Neurospora crassa OR74A: one gene and its partner. The protein of the gene in region 1 binds, or shares a complex with, the protein of each later gene. Links are inferred from orthologs where the notes say so. Each region holds a gene or a part of one and is shown on either strand. Other genes may lie near its edges.

Evidence for each region. The genes of interacting proteins can lie anywhere in the genome.
Region 2: the proteins of NCU00169 (region 1) and NCU02681 are in contact, whole or in part, in a cryo-EM structure (PDB 6N3Q), measured with the Saccharomyces cerevisiae proteins. The link is inferred for Neurospora crassa OR74A from reciprocal best matches to the Saccharomyces cerevisiae genes SEC63 and SEC66. Residues at the interface, in NP_014897.1 of Saccharomyces cerevisiae: Gln247, Thr250, Lys251, Lys252, Asn256, Ala259, Ser260, Val263, Val267, Asn268, Tyr269, Lys270, Pro271, Ser272, Glu273, Ile274, Thr276, Ile339, Gly342, Phe343, Arg344, Leu365, Pro367, Thr528; in NP_009730.3 of Saccharomyces cerevisiae: Asn69, Lys109, Leu113, Gln116, Ile117, Leu120, Asn123, Gly124, Ser125, Ile126, Gly127, Glu128, Asp129, Tyr130, Arg133, Arg178, Arg179, Ser182, Arg186, Val189, Glu193, Trp194.

The regions. Positions count from the first base shown.
Region 1 is NC_026503.1:2,871,835-2,879,650, reverse strand, and holds NCU00169 (translocation complex component), read left to right. Parts: upstream 1-3,541; 5' UTR 3,542-3,943; coding exon 3,944-5,891; intron 5,892-5,963; coding exon 5,964-6,118; 3' UTR 6,119-6,471; downstream 6,472-7,816. Other genes in the region: NCU00170 (DNAJ domain-containing protein), read left to right, coding at 1-413, 492-1,653, 1,708-1,948; NCU00168 (1-acylglycerol-3-phosphate O-acyltransferase), read right to left, coding at 7,184-7,383, 7,485-7,816. UniProt on the Saccharomyces cerevisiae protein: Acts as a component of the Sec62/63 complex which is involved in SRP-independent post-translational translocation across the endoplasmic reticulum (ER) and functions together with the Sec61 complex and KAR2 in a channel-forming translocon complex.
Region 2 is NC_026501.1:3,181,218-3,186,278, forward strand, and holds NCU02681 (translocation protein), read left to right. Parts: upstream 1-1,381; 5' UTR 1,382-1,659; coding exon 1,660-1,765; intron 1,766-1,835; coding exon 1,836-2,137; intron 2,138-2,210; coding exon 2,211-2,468; 3' UTR 2,469-2,797; downstream 2,798-5,061. Other genes in the region: NCU02680 (nuclear protein localization protein 4), read right to left, coding at 1-501, 578-786; NCU02682 (hypothetical protein), read right to left, coding at 3,004-3,708; NCU02683 (hypothetical protein), read right to left, coding at 4,880-5,061. UniProt on the Saccharomyces cerevisiae protein: Acts as a component of the Sec62/63 complex which is involved in SRP-independent post-translational translocation across the endoplasmic reticulum (ER) and functions together with the Sec61 complex and KAR2 in a channel-forming translocon complex.

The sequences.
Region 1 (7,816 bases):
AAAGGTCGACACAGACATCCACCCGCTGAACCTGCCTCCCGAGCAGCGCAAACGCTTTTCTGATCTGTCCGGCTTTAGTGTTCGAAATTCAATGGAGTTCGACAACAAGGAGAACGGCGCGGCTTCCGCAGCCTCGCCGCCGCCGCCGCCGCACAAGCAGCAACCGCAGGACCAGCAAGCTCAGCAGAAGCCCACACCGCCCGCTCACGGAAGCACGTTTACCGTCCCCATGTCCAACGGTGCCGATGCTGCTCAGACTAATGACGGCGAAGTTCCTACCCCTCCTCCCCATCGCTCGCAGCCTACTACCCCCGTGCAGAGCCCTGCCGAGCAGGCAGAGGGCTTCAAGAATGAGGGCAACAAGTTCTTCAAGGCAAAGGATTATAACCAAGCGATTGTGCATTATACCAAGGGTAAGAAGGCGGCCAGGTTCGAGGATTAAAAAAAAAAAAAAATTGAGGCAGAAACTAACTTGGGCATAAACAATACAGCCATCGTCTTGCAGCCCGAATCCGCAACATATCTAGGAAACCGTGCGGCAGCCTACATGTCCGCCGGCAAGTATAAGGATGCTCTTGAGGACTGCACTCGCGCAGCGGAGCTTGACCCGAACAACCCCAAGATTCTGTTGCGTCTGGCCCGTATCTACACCAGCCTTGGCAGACCCGAAGAGGCCATCGCCACTTTCGGCCGCATCCAACCGCCCCCTTCGGCAAAGGATATGGCTCCCGCTAGGGACATGTTAAACTATATCCAGGCCGCCCAGAAGGCTCTCCAGGAGGGCACGGCCGCTTCCATGGTTCTGCACCCCCTCGATATGGCCGAAAGGCTCCTGGGTATCGGTGCTAGCCGGCCCAGAAAGTGGGTTCTGATGCGTGGCGAGGCTCTCCTCAGGTTGGGCGATATCAACTCTCTTGGTGAGGCTCAAAATATTGCAATGTCGCTCCTCAGGAGCAATAGCCAGGACCCCGAGGCTCTCGTGATCCGTGGCCGTGCGCTTTATGCTTCAGGTGAGAACGACAAGGCAATTCAGCATTTCCGCAAGGCGCTCAGCTGCGATCCCGACTTCAAGGATGCCATCAAGTGGTTGCGTGTCGTTCAGAAGTTGGACCGTATGAAGGGAGAGGGCAACGATGAATACAAGGCTGGCCGTTGGCAGAAGGCCCTGGAAAAATACACTGCGGCGTTGGAGATTGACCCGTCAAACAAGGGCACCAACTCCAAGATTCTACAGAACCGCGCCTTGTGCTACACCAAGCTGAAGCAGTTTGACGAGGCCATCGCCGACTGCGAAAGAGCCATCAGCCTCGACCCTTCTTACCTCAAGGCCCGCAAGACCAAGGCCAACGCGCTTGGCTTGGCCGAGAGGTGGGAGGACTGTGTTAGGGAGTGGAAGGCACTGCAGGAGCTCGAGCCTGAAGACAGGACCATTGCTCAGGAAGTCAAGCGAGCCGAGCTTGAGCTCAAGAAGTCGCAGAGGAAAGACTACTACAAGATCCTTGGGATCGACAAGAATGCGGATGAGACCCAGATTAAGAAGGCGTACCGTAAGCTCGCCATCGTCCACCATCCCGACAAGAATCCCGGCGATGCCTCCGCCGAAGCCAGATTCAAGGATATCAGCGAAGCTTATGAGACGCTTAGTGACTCTCAGTAAGTCCCTCCCCTGCCCCTCCTAGTTGACGAGTTTGCTAACACCCCGAATAGAAAGCGCGCTAGGTACGATAGTGGTGACGACCTAGTGGACCCGTCTGATATGTTTGGCGGTGGCATGGGCGGTGGCATGGGTGGTATTGACCCTGAGATCATTATCCAGATGATGGGTGGCCAGGGTGGTCATGGCTTCGGTGGTGGTGGTTTCGGCGGCTTCGGCGGTGGCGGCTTCCCTGGAGGCGGTCGCTCCCGCGGCAGGGGAGGTTTTGGCGGCGGCGGCTTCCACTACCAGTGACAAACCCACGAAGATGATAACGAGTACGAGGGCGACTTTGACGATGATAATGACGGGTATCTGTCCGAAGACGACGCTACCGAGCATCACGATGAGCACGGACGGACCCACAGAGCTTGGGGAAAAGGAAAAGCAGGCAACGACATGGATAGCCGAGTGGCATGGCTCAGATCATGGGGTATCTGGCTGGTCGCTGCCGTTGTGCTTTTGCCTCCCCATCTCTTGGTTCTGCTCCTTGTGTGGTATGCATGCCTAAGTCTCTTCAAAAAGTTCATGGCTGCCGTCAGACGCGGCTAGCGTACTTCTGGTATCTCAGTCAGAGAGTGACTGAGACCGCGTCTGGGGTATGCAACCCCTTGGCTCATGCCAAATTTCAGGAAAGATGCCTGAGCGTGTAAGAAGCGATGGAGCAGAAAAAAAAAGACGGGTGTTTTCTTTTACAAATTGGTCAAGGCATAGACTTGTTTCATTGGTTCATAACCTCACATACCCTTTCCCCGGAAAAGTTGCGCCACGCGCATCCTTCGTCTTCCACCATTGTCTTGTTATCGTCTCGACCATATTTCCAGGCCGTTGTTGGGCTATGAGTTGTCGCAGTCATGCACACGCCCATATGGTTATCCTTATCCGGCACTGTGAGATGGAAGTCAGTGGCGTTATGTGTCTAGGTTTCTGGATTGAGGATGTAACCGATTTTCCTTTTTACATATCGGATTGCACATAGACTGACAACTCATATAAAAGTCTGGTGAAATGGGGCTGCTTATCATGGTTTGGTTCTTTGAGTATGCTTGAAGACGAAGCAGAAGAATACTTAGACACCATATATTCAGGATAGAGCTTTGAACTGGCAGCGAGTAAATATGGCACATACAGCGATTATTCCTGTCGCGCAGTATTCATTGAGTCAGCGATGCCGGCATTCGGAAAGACCTGAACAAACGTTCGTGGCAGCCGGTCGATGAACAACACTGGTTGCACTGTGTTGCTAGTTTGTAATTAAGGGTGAGCGGACAACGTGTGGTGTGGCGCCTCTGAATCCTAACTCAAGGATCTAGACATTATCTTCAGATTTTGAATAAGGTTTGAATACAGATTACCGTTCCTAGCTTGTGGTTTGCTTCAATTTGATATCTCTTTTCTATAGTTGCCATCTTTCTTACCATAGTACATGTACATCTTGCCAGATTAGGTGACTTGGGTCATAAATGTCAATTTGGTGATAAGAGCGGACAGCTGGGTAGTTATTATCTACTTGGAAGGTCTCTCATCAAATCTGGGGCGAATACTGCATCCAGGGAGAGAAAAAAGAAACAGACAGAGAGATAGATCTGTTCAGATCAAAGACGACACAAGCTCACCACAACAGGAGGCAAGCTCAATGCCGGGATTGGTTCACAAAGCCACCAAGATCTCGCGTGTCCGTTCTGGGGTCAGAATGAAGGACAAGGAACCGTGGCAGTAAGTACTGGCAGTACGAGCCGAAGGGGCAGGTACGGAGGGAGGCATGTGGGTGTACGTAGCGGTGTTAGCGGGGAGCTTGGGCCCCCTGTCTGAAATTTGGAGGCCACGATTCATCTTCGGTGCCAGAGTCCCCGATCCGCACCTGCCAATCCGCCATCCGCAGAAAGACAACTTGACAACATCCCCCATCACCAATCCGACCAGTATCCATCGGTCCAAACCGACGAACCCTGTGGAAGCCGCCACACCTCACTTGACACGGTCGCACCACCTTACCTTTTGTTCCCAGCCATCTCCAGCAACAATCTGGAAACAACTTCCACTCCTTTCTCCCACAGTCCAATATTAACTACTAGACTACGCTGGCCTAGACAGAGCAGAGGATCCCCGCGGCAGCTCCAACAAAAGCGCCCTGCTCGGCCTCTCCAGTCCCTAGCTGCAACTTGTCCTCGACATCTTTTCTTGGGAATTGCAGCCTGACCGCCGTCTACTTCGGACGCCAGCAGCTTCTCGCCACGATAGGTACTCACCATGAGTACTGATTACGCCTACGACGAGGAGGGCCACCTCTGGCCCTTCTTCGTGTTTACCCTTACGTCCATCGTCACCGTACCCATCACGTACTCGCTAATAAAATCGTCGCGGAACGACCCAGCTGCCGCTCTTAAGCGCATCCAGACGGACTACAAGCACGACCAGTCGGCGGTAGTCGACACATTACGCAAGTCGGAGAAGCGCAAGGACGGTAGCAAGCCATGGCTAATCGCCCTCGTCATCGCCGGGTGGGCTGTCATGGGCTACATGATCTACCTCATCAAGACCACCGACGCCCCGGTACAACACCTCTGGAACCCCTATGACATCCTGGGCATCGCCGAGAGCGCCACCGAGAAGCAAATCAAGAAGACGTACAAGATGCTCTCCCTCAAGTTCCATCCCGACAAGGCCCGCCCCGACGCCTCCAAGAACGAGACCATTGACGATCTGAACCGCCGCTACGTTGAGATCTCCAAGGCATACCAGGCTCTGACGGATGAGGACGTGCGCAACAACTTTATCCAGTTCGGCAACCCCGATGGAAAGCAAGGTTTCAGCATCAACATCGCCCTTCCCAAGGCCATTGTCTCCGATGGCAATGGCAAGTACATTGTTCTGATCTACTTCGCCCTGTTTGGTGTCCTCCTCCCCTATCTGGTCGGCTCCTGGTGGTACGGCACACTTCGACGCTCCAAGGAGGGTGTTCTTATGGAGAGCGCCAACCGTTTGTTCAAGGAGTATCAGGACAACATTGACGAGGGTGGTGTAGTGGCGGCTCTCAGCAGTGGCCAGGAATTTGAAGACCTGTTCAAAGGCGACAAGGCAGATGCCGGCCTCTCCAAGATCGAGTCCAAGGTTATGGCTTCCGACGAACTTCCACCCAAAGAGAAGAAGAAGCTCGAGGACGTTGAGAACGGCCCCCGGAGAAAGGCTCTCGCTCTTCTCTGGGCTTACCTTGGGCGCATTGAGCTTGGTGATGCTACTCTTGAGAAGGCCAAGTTCCAGGTCGCTCCTATTGCCCATGCTCTGAACAAGTCTTTCAATGCCATCGCCCTCGCCTACATGAACACTGCTCCACTCCTCGCCTCCTACTTTGCCAGCCAGCGCCTCATCCAGGCCATCCCGCCCAAGGCTTCTCCTCTGTACCAGCTTCCACACTTCAATTCGGCCGTTGTTCGGGCTGTCGAGGGCGACTCCCGTGTCCACACCACTGTCCAGGCCTTCATGGACCAGCCTGATGCTAAGCGCCGCAGCCTTGTTGTTGGAAAGGGCCTCTTGACCGATGCTCAGTACAAGGAAACCATCGCCTATGCCAAGCAGCTCCCCTACCTCCGTGTCGCCAAGGCTTTCTTCAAGGTCACTGGCGAGAAGTTCATCATTCCCTCTTCCCTCGTCACCCTCGTTGTCAAGGGCCGCTTCGTTCCTCCCGGTAGCGAGAAGGTACCTGACGTCACCCCCATTGATCTCGAGGACATTGACCCCGCCGAAGACGATCTTGACGCCATCCTCGGCCGCAAGAAGACCAAGAAGGTCGTCGGCAAGGACGAAAAGGGCAAGCCCATCTACGAGGAGTCCGCCGAAAGCGAGGACGTTTACCCACCGCTTGCTTCCTCCCCTTACTTTGCCCGCGACCACAGCCCCAGATGGCACGTCTTCCTTACGGATTCCAAGCAGGGACGCGTGGCCGTGCCGCCTTTCACCTTTGTCAGCTTTGACAGGCCCATTTACGAGTCGGACGGCAAGACGCCGACGTTCGCCATGCAAACCATGAAGGCGCAGTTCCAGGCGCCGCCACAGGCCGGCCATTACACGTTTGTCATGCACGTGGTGTGCGACAGCTATGTCGGGTTCGACACCAAGATGGAGGTGACGCTCGTGGTGGAGGACGCGAGCCGGGCGGCCGAGATGAAGGATGAGGAGGAGATTAGCGAGCCTGAGGAGGGTGAGTTTTTTCCTCCCTTTTCCCACCATCCACCACATTCGCATAACAGAAAGCTGACCACAATCGCTACAGATTCTATTGCCGGCATCATGAACGCAGCAAAGGGTGCGCCGACAAAGCAGAGGGTTGTCAAGGACGAGGAAGACTCGGATGAGGAAAGTGGGACAGATGATGATGAGGACGATGACACGAGCGACACTAACACGGATACGGAGCCTGAAAACTAAATTTGGCTTTCTTTCGCTTTATTCGCTTAGTCGTTCTTCATATTTTGTAAACTTTCTTTTCAACATCATTAAGAATGGGTGTATGGGTCGGTTGGTAAGGTTAAGGTGGGGTGTGTGGTCTCCTTAAAAAGTGATGGAGCGGCTTTGACAGCGAAAGACAAAATCTCATTATAGTTTGGACAGTCTGTCTGGTTATTACAACTTGAAATCTGGCAGGCTGGTTAGACTTTTACATGTTGTTGTGTACATAATTATCTTCTCACGGTACTGTAGCGGTTGAAAGCCAGGCGCGGATCCTCGAGCTGAATGTTCGTGTGCCGCAACGCAACGCAATGCACTTAAGTACATGGGTATCATATTCTCTATTCACTTCCTTTTCGTATTTCCCATTGGCTTATCACCTTTTGCCACCAACCCTCTTCCACTTCTTCTCAGGTCGTCCGCCGGCCAACGAACCCGATCCCACAGATCCAGCAATCCAACCACGAAACAGAAGTCGAGAAGGGGGTTGTCAGGCGGCTTGAGTGGCGCCTTTTGTCAACCCCCTTTGATTTCAAAGGTTAGGGAGATGGCCCAACCCCCAAACCGCATCACAACCCCCAAGTACGTGACCTGGTAACTGGGTATCCCATCCTATATAGAAAGATGTGCTAGTCTAGTTCTAGTAGCTCTGTCTTTGTCGCATAATATTCTTGATTTCATTCCTTCTTGCGCAGTCTTCATCCCCTCCTTGTCTTCCTCCTGCACGTAAACTCAAAGGGTAGTTCCGAGCCATCATGCCGCTGAGATATGCAATTCTCGGCTCTACCTCTCTCCTCTATTTTCCTATTTCTGTGCTGAAAATCGGCTGCTTCCTCGTCTTCTTCCTCATCCCACCCTCTTCTTAGGGGGGTAAAAAGTACTAATCTCAATCCCAGTTCAGTCCATCCTCGTCGCGGGGCTGACTGGCTGATGGGATTTCACGCTGTCCTGGGCTGCTGCGCAGCAAAACGGGCAGAGTTCCACCTGGCATTTCTGGATCGACGGAGCTGCTGTTTCTCAGCCGAATTGTATAAAATTATGCGTTTAGGCGGCGACCTGCATATCGGTTCCGGACGCCTTGGCCACGCTCGGGTACTTGTTAGCAACGGGAATGTCGGAGACGGACTGGCCGCGGGCCTTGGCGGTAAGGGCGATGAGTTCCTTAAGCATGAGGTCGCGCGTGTTCTTGCAGAGCTCGTCGACGTCGGCGGTGGTGAGGCCGGTGGTGTCGATGGGGTCGAGGACTGTGAGTGAGGTGAAATGGTTAGTATTTTGATAGCACAAGAAGGAAGTGAAGGAAAATGAAGGAAGGGAGAGAGGGGGGAAAGGTAGGGGTTATATATACCCTTCATAGGAATGACTCCGGCGTTGAAGACGAAGTCCTTCACGTTAAGGACGTGGCTATAGTTGGCAACGACAACTGGCACAATGGGAACCTGAGCCTGGACAGCCAAGTGGAAAGCGCCCTTCTTGAATGGTAGCAGCTCGGGCTCCTTGGAGTAGCTCCTGGTTCCCTCGGGGAACATGTAGACGCTCTGCTGCTTCTTCTGGATCTGGTTGGCGGCGCCGGCCATAGCGGCGCGCGCGTCGGTCTTGCTAGCGCGATCGATGAAGATGGAACCCGAGAGGGACATGAACCAGCCGAGGAATGGGGTCTTGCGCAGCGAGCTCTTGGCC
Region 2 (5,061 bases), on another chromosome or scaffold:
CATTGAGGATGGCCGGATGGACAGTCCCGCTTGACTCTGTAATAGGGTTCGACAAGCGGGGGGATAAACGAAGCCCCAAGCTCGGGCTTGTTTGTCGCAGAGTTGATTTTGCGGAGGTATGCGTGTACTGACATGTACTTGATTTTCTTTTCCTCGAGATACTTTGCGTTAAACGGATCAAGGGGCATGCAGTAATCGCACATACCCTTGGGCCCGTGGCGACACATCTTATGATCGCGCCCCCTTGGGATCTTTCCGTCACGCTTGTCTAGCCGATCGTCCAGAGGCGACTGCCTCACCGTTTCCCACGGGTTCTTGATATGTTCATGCGGAGATGTCAGCGGAGGCGGGTCGATGGGCAAGTCTTCTGCAGGTAGGATCGGTTTGCCGTTGAGGCGGTTCGTGGATGAAAGCACGCTGGATTTGGTGGCTTCGCCGTTGCCTGGGCCGTCGGTCGCCGCATCGTTGTGCTTGTAGGTGACAAAAATAAGATCGCCATGGCTATTTTCAGGTCGCTAGTTAGTGTCTGGCACATAAATCGCAAGATCAGCGCGAGAGTTCCAAGGGGTCAGCTTGCCTGAGCCCAGTCTGGCCGACCTTGAACTTTGCGACCTCGCTGAGATTCTTGGCGTCGCTGCCGGTCGGATGGTTCGAGAATGTAATTGTTTTCGGGTCAACAGTCGGGGGAAGCTTGGGAATGAGTTGACGGCCAAGATCCGCAAAGGTGTCATCTTTCTCCAATGTCAGGCGGAGCATGCCATCGGGACCGCGTACCCTCAACAACATCGTGGGCGGGCTGAAAAAAAGGTGACGTCTGGGCTGTTAAAGGGTCCGACGGATCTGGTCTGTTCCTGTCGTTCGGCGAGTATAATCCGGAATCTGAATTTAAAATGTGTCGTAGGCGTCGGAAGTAGGGCGGTATCTATGAATAAAGCTTCTTGTTGCGCAAAATCTACAAGGTCACGCCAGGTCCTCGGACTCGGGGTAAAGGCACAACTGGTGACGGGATACGGGTGGTGAATTGTTGGTCGGCAGACGGGACCTGATCGAAGGGCGGGGAGCTCCACGCAACGCTGTACGATAGTTTCAGGCGTTCGTCATACGTGTGCCTGGGCGGCGGGAGTGCTGGGGCGTGCTGGGAAGTGCTGAGCAATCGAGGCATGCCTGCTGGGTTTCCAGAAGAGCCAAGAAACTCCCGGTCCCACGTCAGAGAGAGAGCCCAATGCCGGCCCGGCAATGCCCCGCACCCCTCAAAGACTTGGGAGTGACAGAAAGGGGCTGTCGCGGCAGGCATCGATTTCCACTTGCGGCATGGGCCCCTGCCACTCAGATGAAGCCAGCGCGCGCCAAGGGCCGAAATTCCATTGTCAAGCTCCCCCTGCCGCGCTGCACCGTTGCAGTTGTCAAGGTGTTCTTTCCAGGCATGGGCACTGCATTTGATAACCAAGGGAAGCACGATTACATTGCCGTCGGTGTCCATCACTCACACAACCGCAAAAGGCAAACGCATCCATCACCGGGCAACCTTCAGTTGCACGACGACAATCCTCACGCCACCTACCGCCTCTTGGTTCACTCTAGTCGCTCGCTTTCTTCCAGAGTAGAGAATACAGACATCATTTCTCGTCCGTCAATTTGACACACACTCCATCCCGAAACATGTTCAGCGTCGACTGGCGGGGGCTTGTGCTCCCCTTCGCCTATCTGATTGTCCTGACGGGCACCTTCATGACCTTTTCCACAATCTACCGCAAGAGGAAAGCCCGTATGCAACCCCCTACTCAGAAATTTCTATGCTTCTCTGGATAGAAGCCTAACCATGTTGATTCTTCCAGAGCAAAGCGCAAACCTCGCACCATGGTTCGGTCCTCACCTCCAACGCAACGTCTACCTGTCACTCCTCCACATGGAGCCCGAGAACGGATCCGAAAAGGCACCTAAAGTTCCTGAAAGTGTGCTCCGGGCGGCTCTGCTGCGCCGCGCTGTCGAAGACATCCACCGTATTATCCAGATCCGCGCCGCCAAGGCCGCCTGCAGCTCTCTTTTGCAGCGTGGAAGCATCGGCGATGATCTGTGGCAAAGGTTCCAGCGTGCCGAGAAGGAAATGGAGGAAGAGCTTCGTGATGTTGTTATGGAGGTGTGTGTTCCTTTGAAGAGGGTTACCCGTGCGGATGATTGGATGCCAGAAATGCTAATGCCCGATTCTTCAGGCCAACGCACTCGCTCCCAACTGGGGACAGAGCATCTTCCAAACCGCCAACGAGATTGCTGCCAACACTGTGCTGCGCGAGCGCCTTGACGAGATCCAGGCTCAGGCAACACAAGAAAAGGAGTGGTGGGAGAAGCGCAGGGCCACCGTTAGAAGCGAGTTCATGAAGGAACTGGAAGGGGATGAGGCTGGTACTGGTACCCCTGTGGACACCAGCTCAGTCACCTCATCGCCGTCGAACAAGAAGGGCAAGAACTAGAGGTCACGTCCTAGCGAGCGGTGCATGAGAGTGACGTGAGCATCTCGCATAGAGATCTCCGGGGTGGCTGTACAATAAGAAGAGAGGTATGGGAGGGCAGGGCAGTGTGGGGTTGTGTTGGGCAAGCAATTGCATTCTTCCATGGCGTTTATGGGTTGGGACCTGCAGCAAAATATTCAAGGGTATACTTTTTTGGGGGAGCCTCTTCAGGTCGTTTACGGGTCTTGGTCGAGATATAGTACAGCCCACAGCGCCCTTGGGTTTGGGATTCTTACGTAGACTTCAATACCTACATTGGTCAATATACGAATGAAAGCGAATCAGGCCTCAGCTTGGATAGTTTGAATTTGGGATATGGCGCTGTTCTACGCTGTAGGTATGTACCGATGTTGCCGAGCACCAGCGCTCGTTCAGTACCTCTAGTTAACCTGCCTGGCCATCTAGGTAGACCTTTTGCAAGCGAATTCTTCGGAAACTTTAAATCTTGCCCGTCTTGCTATCCCTACCTCTACCCATTGCAACAATCACTGTCAACCTAAAGATACCAACCCATCTTCCTCCTGATCTCATCCAACTCATCCTGTGCTCCCCTGACCCTCCTCTCCGTCTCTGCGATATCCTCGTCCGTCATCCCTATCGTCGACTTCAGCAGCGCTGATATGTACGTCGACATTCCATTTCCTTCGTTTTCCATAGCGGCATCATCTACCTGCACATCCCCCTTCTTTCCCCCCGTACTCATCTGCCGCATGTCCACGTCTAAACCTAAACTTGTCCCCGTCGGCAACGGACTCTCACAGCCCCTCAGCCCGATAAACCGTCCAATCCTCCTCCTCTTCTCCTCGATCCCCATGCCTGCCGGCCATGACACCGGACAAGGGTAGTGCGCCGTCCACTGGCATGGCGTGCGCTGGTGATAGAAGCTCGCTAGTCGGTCCAGCTGGTCGTCGGTCAAAAGCCAGAAGTTGAGCAACGTCTGGGGAAATTCGGGGTGCACGGTGCCACTGGTTAGCTGCACGAGGGGGGCGAGGGGGAGGGCGAGTTGGCGGAGTTTGGAGGCGAAGGTTGGGGAGAGGAGGGAGCGGCGGGTTGTGAGGGTTGCTGGGTTTTGTAATTGGTGAGAACGGGGTCGAGGGGGATGTGGTGGCTGTGACGCTGCTCCTGATGGTGTGGGAGGCGGACGGCGATGATGACCCCGAGGGTTGGGTTGTTGACCTGGGTGTTGCCCATGGTTGGACATTGTGCTTGCTGTCTCTTTTTTTCCCCTGAAGAATGATCGCGTTTCTGGCTATAAGGGGAGAATCGCAATACCAAACCTGGCCTGATTGCCCACAGACTCGCCGTTCCTACTTTGGTAGCCCTTGCTCGGTGGTTCAAGGGGAGGAACCCGAAGGTTTTTATACAGTGACAAGCAAGACCTGAAGAGGATGAACGAGACGACAAGTTTCCGGTGAATGACCAGCTCGTGATCAATTGGTCTGCTCAACGTCAGCGCTTGTTTGCGATGGGTATGACTGTGATCCGATTATAAGTGAACCTGTTTGCGAGAAACCCGACGAGGGAATTTGTAATGAGTAAATGGGTTGGTAGGTATTGAGGAACATATGATAACTGAAGTAAAGTGAAGGCTTTTTTTTTCTCGTTTCTTTTGTCGGTTCGGTTCGTGCACCCGTTGTTGCGGCAGAGTAGAATGAATAGTTGTATGATTTCTTTGAAACTATTCCGTACCCTCCCACAATGGAAGTTCCTGAAAAGGAAGGGCTAGGGAATGACCTGCTGAAAAATAAACCGACGACGACCTTTTGGATACATCAACGAAACGAAACGAAGCAGAAGCAGTTCACGATTCAAATAAGCAGACCGGAAATGATCAAATAGCCTAGCGAAGATGACCGCCGTCACTGTTGTATGGTAGACATTGCGCACGAAAGCATGTGTTTTATGTCTTTGGTGGCAGAGAAAAGCCGCTGGCGATTTCCAGAAACAGCACAGGTAGGCAGCTATACCGAACGTTGGGATGCCGTCATGGTCTTTTCTTTGTCTTCCCCCCCTTTTGTTAGGGGGGGCTTTGTCTCTTTTATCTGGATTCGAGAGGGTAACGGGATTATGCCAATCGAATACATTGTTCGGCCTTGTATGGAGGTCTTGTCGAAAACGATGTGAATGGAATGAATGCCCATGACAGTAACAATGCATTTTCCCCATGTGGCCACTCAAAATGCCAAACATAGCTTCCCATTCCATCCACATCCAAGGATGGGACATTCGAAACGAACAAAGAACGCGAACGGAAAGTTGCCCTGATGCTCTCGGCTCGGTTCTTCCCCTTTCTCCTCTTTCCCTCCATCCGCTTCCCAGCCACACACACTCACACTCACATACACACAGTACACACACCTATCCCGAGCCGATTACAGCAACCACTTAACCTTGGCAACATGATCCGCTTTCTTCTTGCTGCTCTTGACAAAGCCCATCAGCCTCAACTCTGCCAAGCCGTGATAGAACTGCACCAGCGCCTCTCTCTCGCCCAGTCCACCATCCTCCGAGTCCTCGCCCACAAGCGCGTAGTACGCAGACCATAGATCCGCCA